2 linked regions of the Rhinolophus ferrumequinum genome follow. The protein of the gene in region 1 purifies or fractionates together with the protein of each later gene. This does not show direct contact. Links are inferred from orthologs where the notes say so. Each region holds a gene or a part of one and is shown in the gene's direction. Other genes may lie near its edges.

The links.
Region 2: the proteins of NDUFAF4 (region 1) and NDUFS2 purify together in Homo sapiens (co-immunoprecipitation; 3 studies listed by BioGRID and IntAct, with this or other methods). This does not show direct contact. The link is inferred for Rhinolophus ferrumequinum from reciprocal best matches to the Homo sapiens genes NDUFAF4 and NDUFS2.

What each region holds. Positions count from the first base shown.
Region 1 is NC_046286.1:52,015,824-52,026,215, reverse strand, and holds the start of NDUFAF4 (NADH dehydrogenase [ubiquinone] 1 alpha subcomplex assembly factor 4), read left to right. Parts: upstream 1-5,902; 5' UTR 5,903-6,215; coding exon 6,216-6,351; intron 6,352-6,875; coding exon 6,876-6,970; intron 6,971-10,206; coding exon 10,207-10,392. UniProt on the Homo sapiens protein: Involved in the assembly of mitochondrial NADH:ubiquinone oxidoreductase complex (complex I). May be involved in cell proliferation and survival of hormone-dependent tumor cells. May be a regulator of breast tumor cell invasion.
Region 2 is NC_046305.1:2,348,429-2,358,121, forward strand, and holds the start of NDUFS2 (NADH dehydrogenase [ubiquinone] iron-sulfur protein 2, mitochondrial), read left to right. Parts: upstream 1-5,966; 5' UTR 5,967-5,981; coding exon 5,982-6,215; intron 6,216-6,925; coding exon 6,926-7,031; intron 7,032-9,040; coding exon 9,041-9,231; intron 9,232-9,693. UniProt on the Homo sapiens protein: Core subunit of the mitochondrial membrane respiratory chain NADH dehydrogenase (Complex I) which catalyzes electron transfer from NADH through the respiratory chain, using ubiquinone as an electron acceptor. Essential for the catalytic activity of complex I.

The sequences.
Region 1 (10,392 bases):
ACTGCATTCTAATATCTTACAGGGCAAGTACTTCCTCATGGTTGTTTCAAAAATTAGTTGCCTACTTTTTCATTTTCTCGTCCAGATGAACTTTAGTATCTGTTGTCATTTTTCACTTTACAATTTCAATTGAAAGCATATCAAATTTATGGATTAATTTGTGAAAGAATTGACATTTTTACATTCTTGACTCTGCATGAAGGAACCTGGTAGATCTAGCCATGTGTTTCTTTTTCTATTTTCCTAGATTTTGTGGTTTATTTCATTTGGGTTTTGCAAATTTTTTCAAGTTTATTTCTAGGTGCATAATAGTTTTTGTGGCCATCATCAATGGAAGTTTTTTGGGGCCATTATGCTTTCTAACTGATATGTAGGACAGCTGGTTCATTGAATTCTTTTATAAGTTCTAATATTAATAGTTCTTTGAATGATTTTCTCAAATTTTCTAGGAAGACAGAGTTACTGATTTTGCAAAAGAATGAATCATTCTTACTTCCTCTTCTTGTTCTTTTAGCTAGGACCTTCAGCAAAAGGTTGAATAAGGCCAATAGTGGACAGCACTGGCTTTCCTAGGCCTGATTCTAACATTTCACCATTTAATATGGTATTTGCTATGATTTGTTGATATGTACTCTTTATCAAGTGAAGACCTTTTCCTTCTATTCTTAGCGGGTTAAGTCTATTATTAGTAATGGGTGTTGAATTTAAGCAACTATATTTTGTGAATCAATTGAAATGATTATACAGTATTGATGGGGCTGTATTAATTTCTAGAGTGCGAAGTCCTTTTGCGGGCTCATGTGGCTGTTGGCAAAATCCAGTTCCTTGTGGTTGTGGGATTCAGATACCCATTTCCTTGTAGCTGTCACCTGGGGGCTGCTCTCATGTCCTAAATGGCCCTGAAGTTCCTTGCCATGTGGCCTCTTTGCAGAGGCCTCTGAAAGACCCAGTAACAATATGGTAGCTTGCTTCATCAAGACCAGTAGGAGACTCTGTCGTGTCTCCTAAGACGGAGTCTTATCTGACATAAGATAATCATGAGGGTGACCACATTCTATTCTATGTTGTCTTCTGTCCTATATCTATGCTCTATTCTATTCTATTCTATTCTATTCTATTCTATTCACACTTGCTATATTCTATTGGTTAGAAGCAAGTCACTCAAGGAGTCACTCAAGTTTATATATTAAAGTTGTATATAAACTTGTCTATATCATTTTCTTTCAATTAAAAAAAGACTCTCTAAATTTGTGATCATGTCTTTCCAAAAATATTCGAAGGGGCTTTACTTGTGCCTTGTTTTTTACTTGGATCTGTCAGATTTTATATTTCCAAAGAACTACGGTAAGTGGGGTTTTTTTCTATGTAATTAATTTCTGATTTATCTTCAATCCTTTAAACATTTTTTTTCGGATTTCTTTTGATACACTTTTTCTCGTGTTTTGACATGAATGCCTAATTCAAATTCATTTACCTTTAATTGTTCCAGTATTCTAACAAATGTATTTAACAGAAACACACATACATTTTCTTCCAATACTGCTTTGACTGTATTCCACAGGTTTTGATAATTATTTCTTTCAATGATGTTTATTTTTAAATAGTTTGTACAAGGAGAATGTCAACAGAAGAAGCTGTAGGGAGACGAGCTGGGTAAGGAGCCTCCTCAGACGTGAAAGGGCTGTAGATGCCCTTTTCTGCCTCTGACTCTAGTCTCTCGTTCCTTTTTTCCTCTCTCTCTCATCTCCCATTTTTCCCCAATAGCTTCTACTTTCCCCCTCTCTCTTCCTGTTTTCAGACAGCTATCTTCTTCCAGTCCATGAGTTCAGAAAACTGATAAACTCTTCCACAAATGGCTTGCTTTCCCCAGGAGTATTTCCCTTTTAAAGGTGGATACAGGCAGAGAAGAGGAAAACAATCTTAACACAAAGACAGGAATGGGTGGGTGATTGTAAAATTCTAAGCCAAGAGGAAAATGATGGAGAGGGAAGAAGAGTAAGAAAAATGGTAGGCTTCTGGTCTAAGACGTCTAAGATGCCGTAATTAGGGAAACTAGTCATGCTGCTTTATATACAAGGGACATTCACACTCTTGCTCACTGAGGCTTCTCAGACACAGGTGCTCCAGGAGGACGAGAGGTTGGGGATATAGGAAGAATTGCCTCCCTGTGCAGTGCATAGATCTGGTGAAGTAGCAGCAGTTTACTTGTGAGCTACTATGGCTCCTAGGCAAAGCCTGAAATACTATTGCCCAAGCAAGACGGTTTTATTCTTTGAACAATTAGGTAGTTTCATTGGAAGATAAGCTCCATGGGGCTGAATGAAGAATAGTAGGCATTCTCTCCATCGTTCTTTCTTTGAATTTTACTACATATCATCGCTACACTGATAGATACGAATTTCTCAAGATGATGACTGTGGTGGGCAGAATAATGCTCCTCTAAAAACATTTCCCTCTTTATCCCCAAAACCTGCAAAAAGTATTTTGTAGATGTGATTAAGTTAAGGATCTTGAGATGGGGAGATTATCCTGGATTTATGTTAGGTCCAATGTAATCACAAGAGTATTATAAGGGAAAGAGGGAGACAGAAGAGTCACAGTCAGAAAAGAAGATATGACAGTGAAGCTATACAATTACTGGCTGCCAAGAAGTGTTGCAGACCTCCAGAAGCCAAAAAACAAAACAAAACTAACAGAAAAAAACAAAGCAAAACCCAAGGAATTTTTTCCTAGAGATTCCAGGAGGAAGACAATTCTGCAGCCATTTTGATTTTAGCCTCCTAAGACCTGTTTTGGACTTTTGACCTCCAGAAATATAAGGTAATAATTTTGTTCTGTTTTGAGGCACTGTTTTGCAGTAATTTGTTAGCACTAATAGGAAACTCATACAATGACAAAAGTCATGAGTGCAGTAGCCACAAAGCAGGCATCTGGGTATAAATTGCTGACTGATAATTCTTACCTATGAGACCTGGTGTCTTTCAATATGAATACGGGATCTGCCCAAAGCCTAGTTTGTTTTGGTTTGGGACTTTGGGTTTTTGTTCCCCAAATATTCCACAAACCTACAACACTGACCACTGTGTAACTAACTGGTCAAGCCTGGGAACGTTGTAAATGACCTCACTTGAACTCTCACTCATTCCTGGTTCCTGAGCTGGAGTCCAGGCCCTCGCGCTCTCTGCCAGGATGAGTCATTCCTCCCCGGTCTGCTCCTCTGCCCACTAGTAGCTGGGGTTTGGTCAGTGAAATCTCTAGGGGCTGTCCTGGGCTCCTTGAGTCACCAGTCACCTAGGTTTAGCGATTGCAATTCTTTGGAGAATACAGAATGCTGTTGAATTATGTTCAGGGGAAGGAGTGTGCAAAGGTCACAGTGTAGGCACAGAGAGAAAGATGGAGGAGGGAGGGAAGCACGGAGGCGACCGGCTAGGGACTATTTCTGCTGCCAATGCCAGGTAAGAGCAGGTGGCATTTTGTGCCCCTGAGCTAATAATTCCCACCCAAATTCTGACCTTCATGAGTCCAGCAATGCCACCATGTGCAGAGCACACAAATTAGTATATAAAAATCAAATTTGGAATACTTATTTTTAAATTAAATTCTTAAAGAACATGGGTCTTACTTTACTTTCAGATATTTAAGTATTTTATCCTTTTCATTCAGCTATAGACCAGGGTGTCACAATATCTTTGGTTCTTTTTCAAACTTCTCTCTGCTCCTCTGGAAAATAGAAAGCAATACAAATACTGAATATCATATTGAGGTAGGCACTGTAGTAGACACTTTATCTTTTAAATGGTGTGAAACCCATTACATAATTAAAACTATCATCCCAATTTTAAGATGAGGAAAGTATGTTCAACAGTGACAGTCATAAGGATTCACTTCTGGTGGAGGGGCTGGTATTCAGCGTCTGGACTCCAGCTCAGGGGCCGGGCTGGTCTTTGGGTTTATCTGACTTACTTGACATTTGTTTAGTTCCTATTGGGTATCAACCACTGTTCAATGGGATGGAGACAGCCGTGAACAAAGCAAATTTTCCTTTTCTCATAGAACTTACATTCTAGTGTGTTGACAAGACCCTGGGTTTATTTTATTTGTACCGTAAGATATTCAGCAATCTGTACCCACCAAAACACTCTGCTCAGAGAGACGCTTGATTTTGAGCAGCATTCCAGTTATACTTTCCTTGGGGACCTGACTTCAACCCTTAACATAAGCGCAGGAGTTCTGAGTTCAGACTTCCTGTTAATTCACATGCTTTGACAAGAGGAGCTAGAATTATGCATTTGTGGTTCAGGGTTTAGTTCCATGATGATTCCCAAGGGGTGATGGCCAATTGTGTATTTCTGGTGGAGTATGTTGCCTTCTGTTCTGTTCTTTGCAGGCTTGCGCAGCACCAGGCAGGACCAGGCAAAGCAGCTGGCACCGGTTGGATGTTCCATAAATATGGAATCCAAACTCTACCTAAATGTGGGAATCCAAGGAATTCTTTCATGCAGTAATCCCCACAGCAACCTACATTTCCTGTAACTTCTATCTAACATTACTTTTTCATGCTGCCAGAAGTGTGGTGGAATATCTATGAGAATGAATTTTTCACTTTCAAAGTATTTTAATAGGCAGTGAGTGGAATTATTACCACAATTTTTGAAGCTCACAGACATAATGAGGCAGATGAAAATTTCTTGGCACCTGTGGAAACATGAATACTTAGCTGAAAAAGCACCAAGTTAGGAGCATGTCTGTCTCAGATGGAAATCTTGGAGTAGCCTGCCACCTTCAGGATAACTTCCCAACTAACTCTACCAGAGAACACTGGTTTTAGCCTCTGTAAAATCCAAATAACTAGCCCAGTAAAAACGTTTCAGATAATCAACGGTGGAAGCAACTCTCCTTGTAATACTTTTGCTGTGATTAAATATATTTACTAATTATATTAGTTTTCTTTAAATAAAACTGCCCTTTCTTTACTTTGATTCTTTTAAAAAATGTGTTACTTTGATTATCTTTACATGGACTCTGTACTTGCTTTTAATTAATTAAAAACAAACAACCAACTTCATTTTGCTAAGCAGATCTGGGAACACTAAAAACCGATTTGCAGCCAGTCTGTGAAAAATATTGTAACTTTGGAAACCCTGCTACTTCCTGGTATCATGGATTAATGACAATATTTCTAAAGAATCTTAAATAAAATCAGAAACACAGTAATCCATTCAGAATTGGGGGAGAGGGGTGGAGAACAATAAGAGAAAAAAAGAGAGAACAACTCGGTATTTTTGGTTTGTTTTTTTAATGTCATATTGGCTATTCCTTTCATTAAGTTATATGGAGGGCTCCGCTCCCTCGCTTAAAAGGAATGAGGAAGGCAGGAAAAACGGGAATGACGCGGTGATTTAGTACTTAATAGTGTGAAGAAATAACACAAATTAGTACCAAAAACAAAGAGAAAGGAAAGGGCAGCATAACTAAAATCGATAAAATTAGGTCAAATGAGTTATGACAGCGGGATGTAAAAGATCTAGGAAAAAGGGAACACCGTGGCTCAGAAATGAAGCAGGAGAGGGGACAAGAAAATAAGGGGCATTTAAATAACAGAGTGACAGAGAACAAATATTCATCGAGAATGAATACATTTCGTTGCGTTCCTTTCACAAGAGCAGGAAAGAGCAATTTTCGGACCTTCATTTATCCTGATGCAATTCCATTTTTATTGGCTTCCTCTTTCGCTGCATGGACCCGTGAAAGGACTTCAAGGTCAGTTTCCTTTACGACTTTTCCCTACTCAGCCTGCAACTTTGGAATCACGTGGGAAGCCTGAACCAATGCAGGGCCTCACTCCAGAGGAATTAAATCAGAAAGTCTGCATGGCAGGTAACTCTTTTAAAGCTCCCCTGCTGACTCAATGAGTCTCCAGAGGTGACACCATCCTTGGATTTGAGCCCTGAGCCACCCTACCTCCCCCGGCAGTAACCGCAGGCAAGAACTCGTCGCTGGACCCGGAGGCAGGACGCCCTCGGATACAGTCTGGGCGGAGATGCGGCGTGTGCCCTCCCGACCGGTAGGGGGCAAACGGCGCGCATTTAGCGCCTGCTTTCCGGCGCGCGACCCGCTCGACCCCAGGCGTGCGCATGCTCGGTTCGTTACGGAGGTGGCCCACACGGCTATTTTCCCACGTGCGTTGTTAACTGAGGGCATCATGTTGTGAGGAGATGGGGGCCTCGGTGGCTCGCGCAATCAGGAACTTCAACCTAGAGAACCGGGCGGAACGGGAAATCAGCAAGATGAAGCCCTCCCCCGCTCCCAGGCACCCCTCCACCAAGAGCCTCCTGCGAGAGCAAATGAACTGTGAGTGGTGCGAGGGCGCGTCGGGGCCGGGCGAGCGGGATCTCGGGGCCGGCTCGGCAGTTCCCCGCCGGCGGACGTCGGTGCCGTGGTCGGGGTGACGCGGGTCGGCCGCAGGGGCTCGGTCCGCCGAGCGCGGGACGGTGGAGCCACCAGGCCGGTGACATTGAGCCCGTCCCCTAGCGCTCGCCATGGAGTCGGCGGCTCTGCTTTCTCGGTAGTCCCAGAGATGAAGACCTGTGCCCTTGCCGTCCGGTTCAAGCCGGCTTTTTGCCTTTAACGCTTAGCTGCTTGATCGAGGGAATCAGAATGAGAAGGGATCGTGTGCAGCGGAAGGTTTCTTTAGGTGTCTGCACAGAACGGTGGAGGCCGAGCCTGAATCCGTATTTTGATTTACTGTGAAATATTTTCCGTACTGCCCAAACGATAGTTTGTTTAAAACGTAAAAGTATCGTGTATTAATTGTTTAGGATCGTAGAAGAATTTTCGTTGGTTTTAATATTGTGACATTCTTTTTCTTTCCTTAGCTCATCCAGATATTAAGGGAGACATTGTTAGAAAAGATGACAAACTGCTGTCATTACTAAAAGACGTATATGTTGATTCCAAAGATCCCGTGCAGGTAATGTGTACTTTAATTAAGAAAATAAATAATTTAACTTTTGGGGGCTCCAGGAAAATGGTCAAGAAAAGTGTGGCAAATAGTAAAAGAGTGAGATGCCCTGCAAGTGTAAAAACGTCAGTGTAGTTGTAACCAGAATACAGTGATGTGAGCAAGACACACATGCCTTGGTTCATTGGTTATTTACTGAAATTCTAACAGACTCGTTTAAGTATTGATTGAATGCAACTGTGTGAAGTATTTGATGTTATTTAAGAATTTGTAGGACTTGGTAAGGTACTTCTAGTGGTTGCCATTTAAATTACGGAAGGGGAGCTTTGATACTATTTTCTCGCCCGTCATTGAATTGAGGTATGTTCTAATCTCAGGGATTCCTTTAGTGTTGTATTTGGGTTTTTTCGTTTTTGTTTTTTAAGGATATGTTCAGATACGATATGTAAAAGGAGCAAGATTACAGAATACTTTGTGAATGGGAACTTATATTTAAATCCATCTATAAATGCCTGGCAGAAGTGTTTTATACGTAGTGATAATCAAAACAGACCTAAGTCCTTGCTGTCACACGGCTTATAGTATTGTGAGGGACAGGCATTAAACAGATGAGCAATCATAAGTACACGATTACTCACAGGTCTATGGAGGAGAAGTACAGGCACGCGAGTGTATCTGGGGGCCCTGTTTGAGATTTGGAGGATCAGGGATGGTTTCTGATTATGGATTTATTGGTTCTGTTTATTTATCTTTCTATTTCTACATTAGAATCACACTATGTTAATTAATAGAACTTTATAATGTGTGTTGATATCTGTTACTGCCTCCTCTGTTTCTTTTCAAAAGTTTCTTGGCTCTTGTGACACATTTTTTTTCCCCCAGATGAACTTGAGGCAAATTGTCAGGTTCTTTAATAATGTCCTGTTTGGATTTTGAGTGTAGCTGAATTGGAATTTATAGATTAATTTGAGGAGAATTAACTTCTTTGTATTATTGAATTTTTGGGAGATAGAGGGAAGGTTGTTGCTATGGGATCTCTTTCACCCTGAGTTTTTAACTATTTATTGCTAATATGTCAGAAAGTGTGTGACTTTTGTATTGTAGCTACTCACATTGCTAGGTTATTTATTAGTTTTTCAGTTCATTCTCTCATTTTTCTAAAGATATTCTCATATCATTGGCATAGAATTACATTGTTTTCTTACTTTCTAATATTTATACCTAATTTTTACTGTGTTGTCTATAGTATTAGCATAACAGTGAAAGTTGATATTCTATCCTGTAATTTCCTTACATAGGATGCTTCTGATGTTTCAGCATTAATTATAATAAAACGATATGGTTGCTGATTAAAAATACTTTTATCACATTTGGGACATTTTCTTCAATTTCCAATTTGCTAAGAGTTTGTTTGTTTGTTTTAATCAAGAGAGAATTGTTGAATTAATCAGAAGGGAAATCTTAATAAAACTGTCTATGGAGTGGAAGGAGGATCTTCCTGGGAATAGGAAGATAAGAGGAGCTTTGTGTTTTGGAAAGTGAAGAAGTTGGGAAAGTGTTTCAGGCCTAAGTTACAATGCAAAGGTAGGAGAATATGTGACACCTTTGGAGAATGGTTAGCGTTCAGCAACAGTTAGGGGAAAGTGTAAGGGATGAGTTTGGGAGAAGTGAGGCCGATGGGGGTGATCTGAAGGTCCTTACTTGTCTTGCTAAGGAATTTGGGTTTTATCCTTATGATAATGGGAAGTTATTGAGTTTCATGTGGGAAAGTGATGTTAGATTTGTTTCATAATAGGGAATTGATTTAGTGACTGGGAGAGAAGTAAATGGCTTTCAGAGGGACTTTGGAGGCAGTATTGATCGGATTTGGTAATTGGTTGGATGTAATGAGTGAGGGGGAGAGGGAGATGTCAGGTATAACATGGTATCAGAGAAGCTTTGAGTTTTGCAATGGGGTATGGGAAGTGGGTGGTGTTAGTTACTGAGATAGGGAATATGGGGATAGAATTGGGTTTTCAGAGGAAAGGGATAAGTTGAGTTTTAGACATGTTGATTTTGAAGTGCTTGTAAATTACCCAAGCAGAGATGCCTATTTGGCATTTGGGAATTGGGGTCTGGAAGTCAGGAGAAAGGGGTCTGAAAGTCTCTAGGTTTGAAATGAGGTTTGAAAGTAATTAAGATATAGGTAGTAATGGAAGTTTCGGTAATACGTGGGATTACTTAGGAAATTTATAGAGTGAGAAGAGGGCCTGGGCCAGAACTTGGGGCACATTAGTATTTAAGGGGCAACTGAGGGAAAGAGTCCACAAAGAAAACAAAGAAGAAATCACTGGAGAGACAGGGAAAACTCGGAGAGGGATGGCATGGAAACCAAAGGGAAACATAATTAAAGGTATGTTGGAGTGTGGTCCTCAGCATCAGATGCTGTAGTGAGTTCAGATAAAGCCTGAAAAATGTCCTCTGGGTTGAGATATAATCCTCTGGATGAGATATCACATCCAGATCAAAAGATCATTTTCTTTTAAAGCTTAACTTAAAAGAAGGAAACTAGTCATAACGGAAGTGTTGGTTTTGGGTATGGTGTGTGTTTTTTAAAGGTGGTGACTACAGTGTTTTTGTATTTTGACCAAATAGCAGCAGTAGGCAGGGTGTAGTTGAAAGGAAAAGGGAATGAATGATTGGCATAACTAGGTAACAGGAATGAAATACAGAGCACAAATGCTAGGATTCAGCTTGGGTGGGACAGGTGGATGTGCATCGATTGTTTTATTTGTATTTGTTGAAGTATTAGAAATATTAGTTTATGTTCTCTGAAGAGGCAAGATCTCTAGCAATATTTAAATTCATTCAGAGTGTTTGGAGGCATTGGAAAACAAAACCAGGAAACAATAGAGATTACCAAGTAAACTGTTAAGGTAGCATTAGAGTCCTGCCCTTCTAAAGCAGTTTTTAATCAATTCATTGTTCTTTTAATATACGTGAAATAATGTGACGAGTGGATGGTATACATTCGAGTGTTATTTTCTAGAACTACCTGAATTTCTTCATGATGATTGAGCCACAGTTATGAAACGGTGATGTGGCAAAAGTGCCATGGAACTATGGTTCATTATAATGAGAAAGTAGTTTGAAGAAGCACGTATAGTATTTGAAGAAGAATAGGGGAGATTTGAGAAGTGTGAATGTAGATGTCAGATCTTCTCATCTTACAAGGCGTTTTGTTTGTTTTTGTCTTTTGATCCTAGGTAAAAGATGCTGGACCGCCTCCGGAGCCAAAGGAGTACAGACTGCCGAAGGGCAATCACTTTGACATGAATATTGAGAACATTCCCAAAGGCAAAATTTCCGTTGTAGAGGCATTAACACTTCTCAATAATCATAAACTTTATCCGGAAACATGGACTGCTGAGAAAATAGCAAAAGAATACCAT
Region 2 (9,693 bases), on another chromosome or scaffold:
AACCCACTCTAGAGCTCTGAGGGCTACTCAGTATGTAGCCCCCCAGGGCTCTGTCTCCCCGTCCCCAAAATACTCTCAAACCTGTCCCTACCCACTTGTCTTTGTGGACACATTCTCAACCCACACACCCCATCTCTGACCCTTGTGAACTCTCAGTACTGGGCCAGGCCCTCACACACACCACCACAGCTCACAGTGGGTTTCTGCAAAGCCTAGATGTTTTTTGTCTACACCAGAGCAGAGAAGGATGGCCCTGGACCTAGGCTCAGGGATGAGGAAGAAGAAAAAAAGAAAAGAGAAGAAGAAGAAACGGCTTGTAACCCCTATTGCACCCTGCTGAGCTCACTTTTCCCTCACCTCACCTGACACCCATCATCCATCCCAGACGTCCCATGGCCCCACCCCCGCCTTACCCAGCTCATGCGCAGCGGTGAAGGCCGACTGGAGCCCGTCATCCTCCACGGACAGCACAGCTCCGAGCTGGGTTCACAGACGGTGCCCACGTCAGCCATGCCCAGGGTTTCTGTCACAGGTGGAGACCCACACAGGTCCTGTGGAGGGGGATCATCGAAGATAAATGAGGGAGCAAGACACGAGAGTCCATTGGGCTGAGACCAGATCAGTGGGGACTTGGGCACTGTCGGGGCCCAGACAGAGTCAGTGGTGTGGGCAGGCCAGGCGCCACCCTGCACGGCTCCAGGGGCACTGTTTAAATCCTTCCACAGGGTGCTTCTGGGAGTCGTGCGGTGTGTGGCCTGTGGTGCTGGCAGGGCCTCACCTGGCGGGTAAATAGAACGGCTGTGTCAAAGTGGTCAGGGTCAGAGTCCTCCGGGCTGTTGAGTCCTTGTTGCCAGGCACAGAAGCTGCGCAGGGTCTGGGCAGCACTCGGCACCACTTGGGGTCCTTCCTCGCCGGGCGCCAGAATGACCAGCCGAGTCACCACCAAGTTGACAGGGTTGTGGATGCTTGGGTGCTTGAAGGCCTTGGCGGCAGCTGCCATAACTGTCAGCACGTAGCGCTTTAGCCCTGCACCGTGAAATGCAGCCATCTTGTCATCGGCCACCACCAGGGTCTCCACGAATCTACTCAGGGAAGCAAAGCGCTAGGAGAGAGAGGACAGAGGGTCGTGAGACTGCCTGCCACACCAGGGGTCACACCCCCCCTTCTTTCTGGGTCTGGAGCTCAGCAGAGCCAGCTGGCCCTGAGCACACCCTGTTGATTCCCCCACCCCAAAATGTGGTAACTGAGAAAACAGCTGTTGGTTCAGAGAGGGGAGGAGAAGGGGGTGCCACGTCCCAGAGAGGGCCGCCTGGGCCCCAGAGGTGAAAAGCTGCTGGGAGGGGCCTTGGGGCCCCCAGGCCTGAGTGTGACTGGGGCTTGAGGGCTGGGCCGCAACGTGTCTGCCCTGTGTGGTGGTGGAGGAACAATTCAGTCAGCAGCCAGGCGCGGGCCAGATCTCAGCGTGGCGGGTGTGGGGAGCGTCTGGTCTGGATTAAAGCTGGGGGTGGGGGGAGTAAAGGATGGAGCCTCAGGCAGCCTCGTAATCAGTGCCTGTGGGAGCGGACGGACCACGGCGTGTGGGACGCCTTTCCTCCCTGGGCACTCCTGCCCTGGTGTGCAGGTGGCCAGGACAGTTTAGAAGGCAGCACCACAAGCCAACCCTTTGGGCCTAAACGCTCATTTCTTTAGCTGGGTGTGTGTGTCGGGGGGCAGGGTGAAAATCAAATGTGGACACAGGAAAGAGTCAAGGCCAAGGGGCTGTTAGGACAGCCTGTAGCTAGGGGCCATGGCAGCAGGATGCCATGGTCAGGCAGGGGCTGGGGGGGCGGCGGGGGGGCGGGACGGCTCATTCCCAGCAGAGCCTCTGACCCACCTCAGGGAACCCTCCTTGGGGTCAGCGGACTGGCCAGGAGCAGGGGCAGGCAGGGAGAAGCCAGAGCTGTCCCAAGACAGGCTTGTCAAGGAGGAAGAGTGGTGCCCAGCGGACCCGGGGCTCAGCCGGACGGACCCCAGGGTGACCTACCTTGGCTCTGCGGGGGCGGGGGCTGGGGTCCCCAGGAGGAGCCTTGACGTTGCACATGGGGCCCTGGCCGCTGACAGGATGCTTCCGGCGTAGGATGTGAGCCCCAGGGCCCTCGGCAGAGTTCAGGGTGCCCGCCTCCAGGGGCTGGATGTGGAGTTCGGTCCCCCGATACTGCAGCACCCCTAACAGGGCCCCTCCGTCCCAGTGTAGAGATGCCACCGACTCCGGGTCTGCGTTGACGGTGCCGGTGAGGTAGGTGCCGGCCTCGGCCCCGCCCAGCCCCTCGGGTGCCCGGCCCAGGTACTGCACCGTCAGCCCATCGACCCGCACACCCGGGTCTTGCTCCAGCTCTAGCAGCAGCGTGTCCCCAAAGGCAGACAAGCGGCACAACAGCCTGGCAGGGATGCCCAAGCCAGGCGGGACGCTGCCGTTGAGCTTCTCTGGAAACACGATCTCTTCCTCTTCCCGGGGGAGGGGGCCGGCTGGGCTGAGGGCAGGAGGGAGACCAGCAGAAGCAGCAGCACCAGCCCGAGACGGCGGGCAGTGTGGGGAGCTGTGGACGGGAGCGGCTTCCCCACAGCCAGCAGTCGGCCAAGCGCCTCCCGGGGCGCACGTCTGTCAGGGACATGGCACAGCTGGCTGTGCTGGGAGGGCCTGAGGCTGTCCGGCCACCCAGTCTTCACGCTCTGGCTTTGCAAAGCTCCTCTGCAGCCTGGGGCTGGGCCTAGTGCCGGGGTCAGGGGCAGGGTTTGGTAGAGGGCCCCTGGGGACCTTCAGAGAAGGCAGGGAAGACTTAGCCCTTGGCTTGGGAGAGGTGCCTAGTGGCCTGGCTCCTCCTTAACCCTCGTCCTCTGCAGCTTCTCTGGCCTCCCCTTCTGTACGCCCTCAGACCCTGGCTTCGCCTCTGTGCCTTTGTCTCTGTCTCTTTCCTGTTCTCTCTCCCCGTCCATGTGTCTGCGGGTCTCCCTGTGGGTTCTTCCCACACTCCCCGCCCAGCTCTTTAAGCATCCTGAGGGCGCTGTGATTGGCTGAGCTGGAAGCCATTCAGCCAGCAGCTCTGTTGGTAGGACTCAGATGGGTGTCTCATTCCTTCCCAAAAACCTCGCTTTTGTCTTCCGTTGAGAAAAATGGGACTTGCCCCAGGGAGGGGGGCCTGTAGCAGCCGAATGGAGGGTCATAGGCGCTGGGCCAGCTGATGACAGGGCATTTGCCCAAACCCCACAGCCAGCTCTCAGCTGTCTCCCTATTTGGTAGACAGAGCCCCAGGAGGGTAGGAAGTCCGGGAAAGGGCCTGGCCTACATGCACAGAAAGGACCAAGGTCCCAGGAGAATTCTGGTATGGCCTCCCTTTTCTTGGGGCTCCCTCAGGCTGCCCTCTGCCCCTAGGGGCTGATTTCCAGAGCTGAGGAGAGAGGGTAGAAGCCTCAAGAGGGTGAACAAAGAAAGGAGCTAGCTCAGCATTGTCAGGACCAGAGACCCAGCAGCAGGAAAGAGTGCAGGAGGGTGTGAGACAGGCCAGCAGGAGGCAGAGATCAGGGAGTAAACTGCCCAAAGGTAGGGCATGTCAGCTTCAAACGGGCACACCTGGGAACGGGCAGAGGCCATGCCAGGCAGGAGGGGTAACGACTTCCCTTCCCAGGAGGAGGGTCCAGGGTGGTACCACTTCTAACTTCTCTCACTCAGGCTCTCCCTTACTGAGTAACCACTATCTGCCCCTCCAAAGCCTGGGACAGCCATTCCGCCTCCATTCCCCTCAGGGCTCCCCCTCCCCACTTCCTGACTCCCCATTTTCCTTGGCCCAGCGCCCAGTAGCTTCCCCCCAGGGCTCTTGGCCCTTCTCCTACCCGGCTCCTAACCAGAGCCCTCCTCCAGCCTCCCACCAGCCCACCCAGCACAGGAACCCAGACACAACCCAGTGCCGGGCCTCTGAGGAATCCCCACTTAGCTCCCAAGTCTGGCTCCACCTTGCCCTGAGAACCCATCGTTCTGGGAATATCTAGTCATCCTCTAGTTCTCATTTCCCTTAGACAGGGAGAGGATGGAGGCAGCATTGTGAATACAGGGAAATTAGGCAGCAACAGAAACAGGAACCGGTGCCTGAGATGGGAGAGAGCCCCAGGGAGGAAGAGGTGGTGTTGGGAAAAGGAAGCAAAATGACTCCGTCAGTTCTGGACTGGAGGAGGACTCAGCAAAGAGGTCTTGGGGATAGTCTCGCAAGCAAGGAAGTAAAGGGTTCAGAAGTAGGGGCAATGTCTGTTCCCCCCAGGCTACAGGCCACTCCCTCAGGATATCCCCAGGAAGGGGAGTGCTGGTCAGCAGTCCCCTTCCTTTCCCGGAGACCGACCACCTGCCCCTGCCCCATTTGTCTATTCGCTTTCTGCCTTGTCACCTCCTGCACCCCACATCATATCCACCAGGACACTTCCTTTCCCCCCGCCCTTCCTGCTCAGGTCCACTAGTACCTGCTCCAGTGCCCACTGCTTCCTGTGTCCAGCACCCCCTGTGACTGCCTGGTGCCCTGACCCTGGTCCTAAGTGGAGGGTTAGACAAAGGATGGGAGACCAGAAGGGGCAAGGGGCAAGAGGCGCTGTCACGAGGACTCTTACTGCCCCTTTCCACCCCCATCTGAGAAGAGGACAAAGGGGGGTGACTAAGCAGTGAGAGACAAAGGGCCTTGGAGTTGCCAGTAGCAGTGTGTGTGGGGGGGGTGCTGGCATCAGGGAGAAGGCACAAAAGATGCCCTGTCCTCGGCAGCCCCCCCAGGAGGCCCTCACCCTCGTTCCAGCTCAAGTCGCCCTCAGGGCCAAGCAGGCCCGAGTCTAGACGGACTTCTCTCAGGCAGGATTAGGGCAAATAAATGCAGCCCCCCCCCCAGTCACCATCACCCACACTTACTGAGCTCCAATGCAGAGGGGGACAAGGCCCAGGGGAGGGTGGGGAGTCGGGGCAGGAAGGCAAGGGGGCTGCCCAGTCCACCCTGGTCCCCTCGGTTCCCAGAGCCAGGTATGACCCCCGCGCTTTGGCACTGTTCCCATTAGGTCAACTCCCGCTAAAAGTCTGGCTTTCTCCTCTTTCTCCACAGCTGAGAATTCCCAGGGTGCCACTCTCCTGGGTCTGTCTGCCCCACCCTGCTGCACCGCCGGTGGGCTGGGTCCGGGGACCCTGTGCGGGGGAGATCTGGGGAAGGCTTCTGGCAGGCGGAGTGCGAGTGGGAGGGACCGCAAACTCAACGGGTGGCCCAGCTGGAGCTGGGCTTGGAGGCAGAGGCAGAGAACCGGAACTGGCCTCCAAGGCTGGAAAAGTCTGCCTCGTCCGCACAGAACTGGGCTCCGACTCCTGGTGGTGACTACATTTCTGTGGCACTGGCCAGGACTGAGGCAGGCTCAGGGTCAGGGTCAGGGTCAGAAAGTGGAGGGGAGGGCCTGACCCAGGATGAAGTGGGGTGTGAGGCATGTCTAGGGCGCTTCCTGAGGCTGCAATTCTGCAGGTTCTGGGAGCCTGGCGGACATCAGGGTCACCCATGAAGGCCCGCGGCCTCTCGGGGGTGAGGTGGCCCCCCCCCCGCACGCCCCGCGGCCGCTCCCATGCGGGGGGCCTAGGCCTCCTCCTCTTTCCTTTTATTTGGCGGAGCTAAGACCCCGCCGGCCCCACTTGGGTCCCCTTGCCTGACCCGTTTAGGACATCTGGAAATTAGCTGGCTTTCCCTGCTCCGAAACTTTTGGCTTCGGGAACGGGAGGTAATTGGCACAGCCTGGGGCCACCCAGGAGGGCCGGGGCGGCCAAGCGGGGGGGAGCGGGCACAGTCCAAGGGTGAGGGGCGCGCGAGGGGCCTGGCTGCCCCGGCACGAGTAGCAAGTTCCCGCCGGCTAACGCCTAGAAAGACGGTCAGGAGCGGTGGGAACAGCTTCCCTAGGTCCCGGGTATTTGAGCCACAGTGAAGCCGAGGCGCAGAACCCGGATGTTGTCAGGCTCAGGTCGGCGACCCTGCCAGCTTTCAAGATGGCGGGCCGCATTTGTGCCGACGGGCCAGAAGCCCACAAGGAAGTGCGCGGCGGAACTCCTCCGCCCGGCCCTCCTCCCACCGTCCGCCGCGGGCAAGATGGCGGCGCTGAGGGCTTGTGCGGCCTGCGGGGCGTCACGGCCCAGGTGCTGCGGCCAGGGGCTGGGCCGGCTACCTATTCGAGCCCAGCAGGTGAGGCCCGGGGCAGCCGTCGACGCGCTGTCCCCAAGGCTGTGGACTCCACGGCCCTGTGCCCCCTAGGAAAGAATGACCCGGGCCCGTGAAACCCTCGCCCAGGCCTGCCGTCTCGGGCTCCATCCAGGTGCTTGGCGCCCCGCTGTGGCGGAGGGGAGAGGGTCTTGAGCTGGTTTCGGCCCGGGTGAAATCAGGTGTCACCTTGCCTTATGCTCTTCTTGCTTCTGAACCCCGTCACGGGTGGGGTGCGACTGGTGAAGCTCTCCTTAGACGCTGTGGGCCAAGAGGAAAGCCCGCTGATGGGGTTCGATGAGGAGCGCAAACTGAGACCCTGAGACTCCCAGTGCGGCACTCGGGCCGTCTTTGAGCTGAGCCAAGGACCCCGTCTGTTCTCTCTCTCTCTCACATCAGTTGACCTTGAATCAACACCTGTCTTGCATTCATGTTGTCCAGGGCGGGGATTTGAAGGAGCCAGCATCCCAGCCTGCGTGCACAGGGGGTGATAGGTGAAGTGATTCTGGGACTAAGTTGTTAGGAGTGGAACCTGTGGAGTTCCAGCTTGTGCCGAAGCAACACTAACTGTGTGTCGGTTCGCGGCATTGAGGAATCCCAGGCAGCCTCACCTGGTGTCTGCCTGTCTCTAAGGGGATGCGAACGGAACAGGCACTGTTTCAGGCCGGTGTTTGGTGTCTTCTTTAACTCCCTAGAGGTGCTCGGCAGTGGCAGCCCGATGTGGAGTGGGCAGAGCAGTTCGGGGAGCCGTCATGTACCCCACCAAGGAAACAGCCCACTGGAAGCCTCCACCTTGGAATGGTGAGTGCCCAGAGCCCCTGTCCCAACCTGATTTTTGTGTTCTTGAGTGCTCTATCTTAGGCAAGTTTTAGTTCCCACCCTTTCTGTTTTCATCATGCAAGTCAACAAACATGATAGTGGTAATAGTATTTGGTCAAGTAGAGAAGGAAAGGAAGAACATTCCAGGAGAAAGAAAGCGTAGGTCACAGCCAACCCTCGGAGGTCCCTACCAAATTCCTATGTTTAGCTTCAGCTTTTCCCATAGGTTCAGTATATTTCCATCTCCCTTGCTAGACAGGGTGGTTTTCCCACTGGCAACCCAAATGACTTCCTGAATACAAACATTTCTTACTCCATCAAAACCCAGCTTTCCTTTTGACTTTCTGGTTATGATCAGTGGCTCTGCCATTCTCTCAGAGTTGAGACTTTTAGTCACCCTTCGGCTCTGTTCTCTCTCCTGCCCTCCATGTCTGTGTGCAGGCAAATCACCAAACCACGCGGCTCTTTCCTAATGTCTCACATCTAGTCACCTCTCTCTTTCTTATTCAGACTTACTGTGTGTTAGACCTTGATTATTTCCAGGAGTCTCTTCCCTGGCTTCCTGCCACTGATCTGCTCTCCCTGCAGCTGTCCTATACAGTGTCACCCGCCTTCAGCGTCCCCAACAAATCATTTTACCGTGTCATTCATTCTCATGCTCAAAAACCTTCAAAGGTACTTCAGTTACTTTTCAAAAACTTAATAGTAAAAGCAGCAGAGTGCTTACCATGCACCAAGTGGTCTGTATGCATTGTTTTACTTGTCCTTACTGCAGGCCTTGGGGAAGTGACACCAGTATTATTTCAATTTTGAGGAAATTCTGGTGCAGGGAGAGTACAGCTTGATCAAGGATGCACAGGTGGATTTGTTCTTGAGTCCGTCTGACTCCAGAGTCCATGGTGAAGAATTTGCGTTGAAACGCTCGCCTCTGGTCTCAGATCTTGGTTCTTCATTTAGCAGTGAATGAAGTGCCCACTTAATTGCGTTACTGTGAGGGTCAAATGAGATAGTGACATAAGCCACTTCCTGTAGCGATTGGCACATTGTGTGTCTCCCTTAGTGTTGTTATTAGTGATGCTACTGTCCCCACCGCCTGCCGTCACTAATCTTCTGCCTCTTGACAGGGAAGATACTTCCTCGTTTCTAAGATTGACCCGTGTGGATCCCATAGCCTGGGTGTCTCTTCTTCTCACTGTCTCTCAGAATCATTCCTGTATTTAAGAGCCAGCTCAGATCCTGCCTCCATGGAGTCTTCACACTGTTCTTTCTTTCTTTTCTTTTTTTTTTTTTAACATTTTTTGTTGTTCTTTCCTTCCTTTAAACATTGATGGCTAAGCCACTTCATTGGTACCTTGTAAATTTGACCTGTGTTACTAGTTTTCACATGTACTTATTTCCCAAATGAAATTGGAAGCTTCTTCAGGGTAAGAACTGTCATTAGTAGTGGTAAGAATTACAATACATGTCCTGATTGGTTGGCCGTCCATCAGATACCTTTGGAGGATAGTGTATCCTAGTGGTCAAGAGTGTGGGCCCTGGAGCTGAAAGGCCGACTTCTGTGCTGGGTCTGCCGTGTACCAGCCCTGTGAGAAAGCGTTTATCTTCTCCAGCCTCAGTTTCACCAATAAAATGGGCTTACTAATAGTACCTAGTACTTGTGGTTGTTGTGAGAATTAATGAAAGTAAGCAGAGTTCTTAGAGTAGTCCCTGGTAGACGATAAGGGCTATATAAATGTTATCTGTTATTACTGTTCCTTTCCAAAAGGTATTCTGGGCGACATGGAGAAAGGGGGTTCATGGTCCCTCCCATCACTTTAGATCTCCCTTCCCCCTTTTCCCATCCATGGTCTTCCTGGTCACCGTGGAGATTAGGGTACTTACGGTACAGCACGGTGAGATGGAAGACCTGTAGGGACGGGAAACTCCTTGCTGTCTCGTGGGGGTTCTCAAGGGAATTACCCCTTGACTCTCAACTGTTTCCCACTTCTCAGATGTGGACCCTCCAAAGGACACACTGGTGTCGAACTTGACCCTGAACTTTGGGCCCCAGCACCCAGCAGCCCATGGTGTCCTGCGCCTGGTGATGGAGCTGAGTGGGGAGATGGTGCGCAAGTGTGACCCTCACATCGGGCTGCTGCACCGCGGCACCGAGAAGCTCATCGAGTACAAGACCTACCTACAGGTGTGGGCGAGCACGGCCTGTGGCAGGACCTGGGGTGCTTTAGCCTGGGACTTGGCCTCTTTACAGTCCCCAAAACCCCAGGGGAGGAGGGTTTTGAGGAGCGGCCCTTTGAGGTTATCAAGATGGTCTTGGCTGGGAGGATGGACGGATGTGGCAGGGGACACGTGACTTAAACCATCTGGATTTGCTTTGTCCAGCAGCGATGTCCTGCAGCCTGAGTAACTCCCGCTTGTGCTGGCTGACTCCCAGCTTACACTCCCTTCACCCTTACTCCAGTGCCTCAGTCTCCCTGCTCACACCAGTACGTCACAGCCACAGTCCCTGGGCTCAGGGCAGGAGGACAGAGACGTCAGCTTCCTAGGATTAGCAGCTGATTCTTGTATCTTCCAGCTCTCTACGTTTGTTTTTGAAACACTCAGTGAGTCAGAGTGACTGGGAGGGAGTTTGAGACACAGTTTGCCG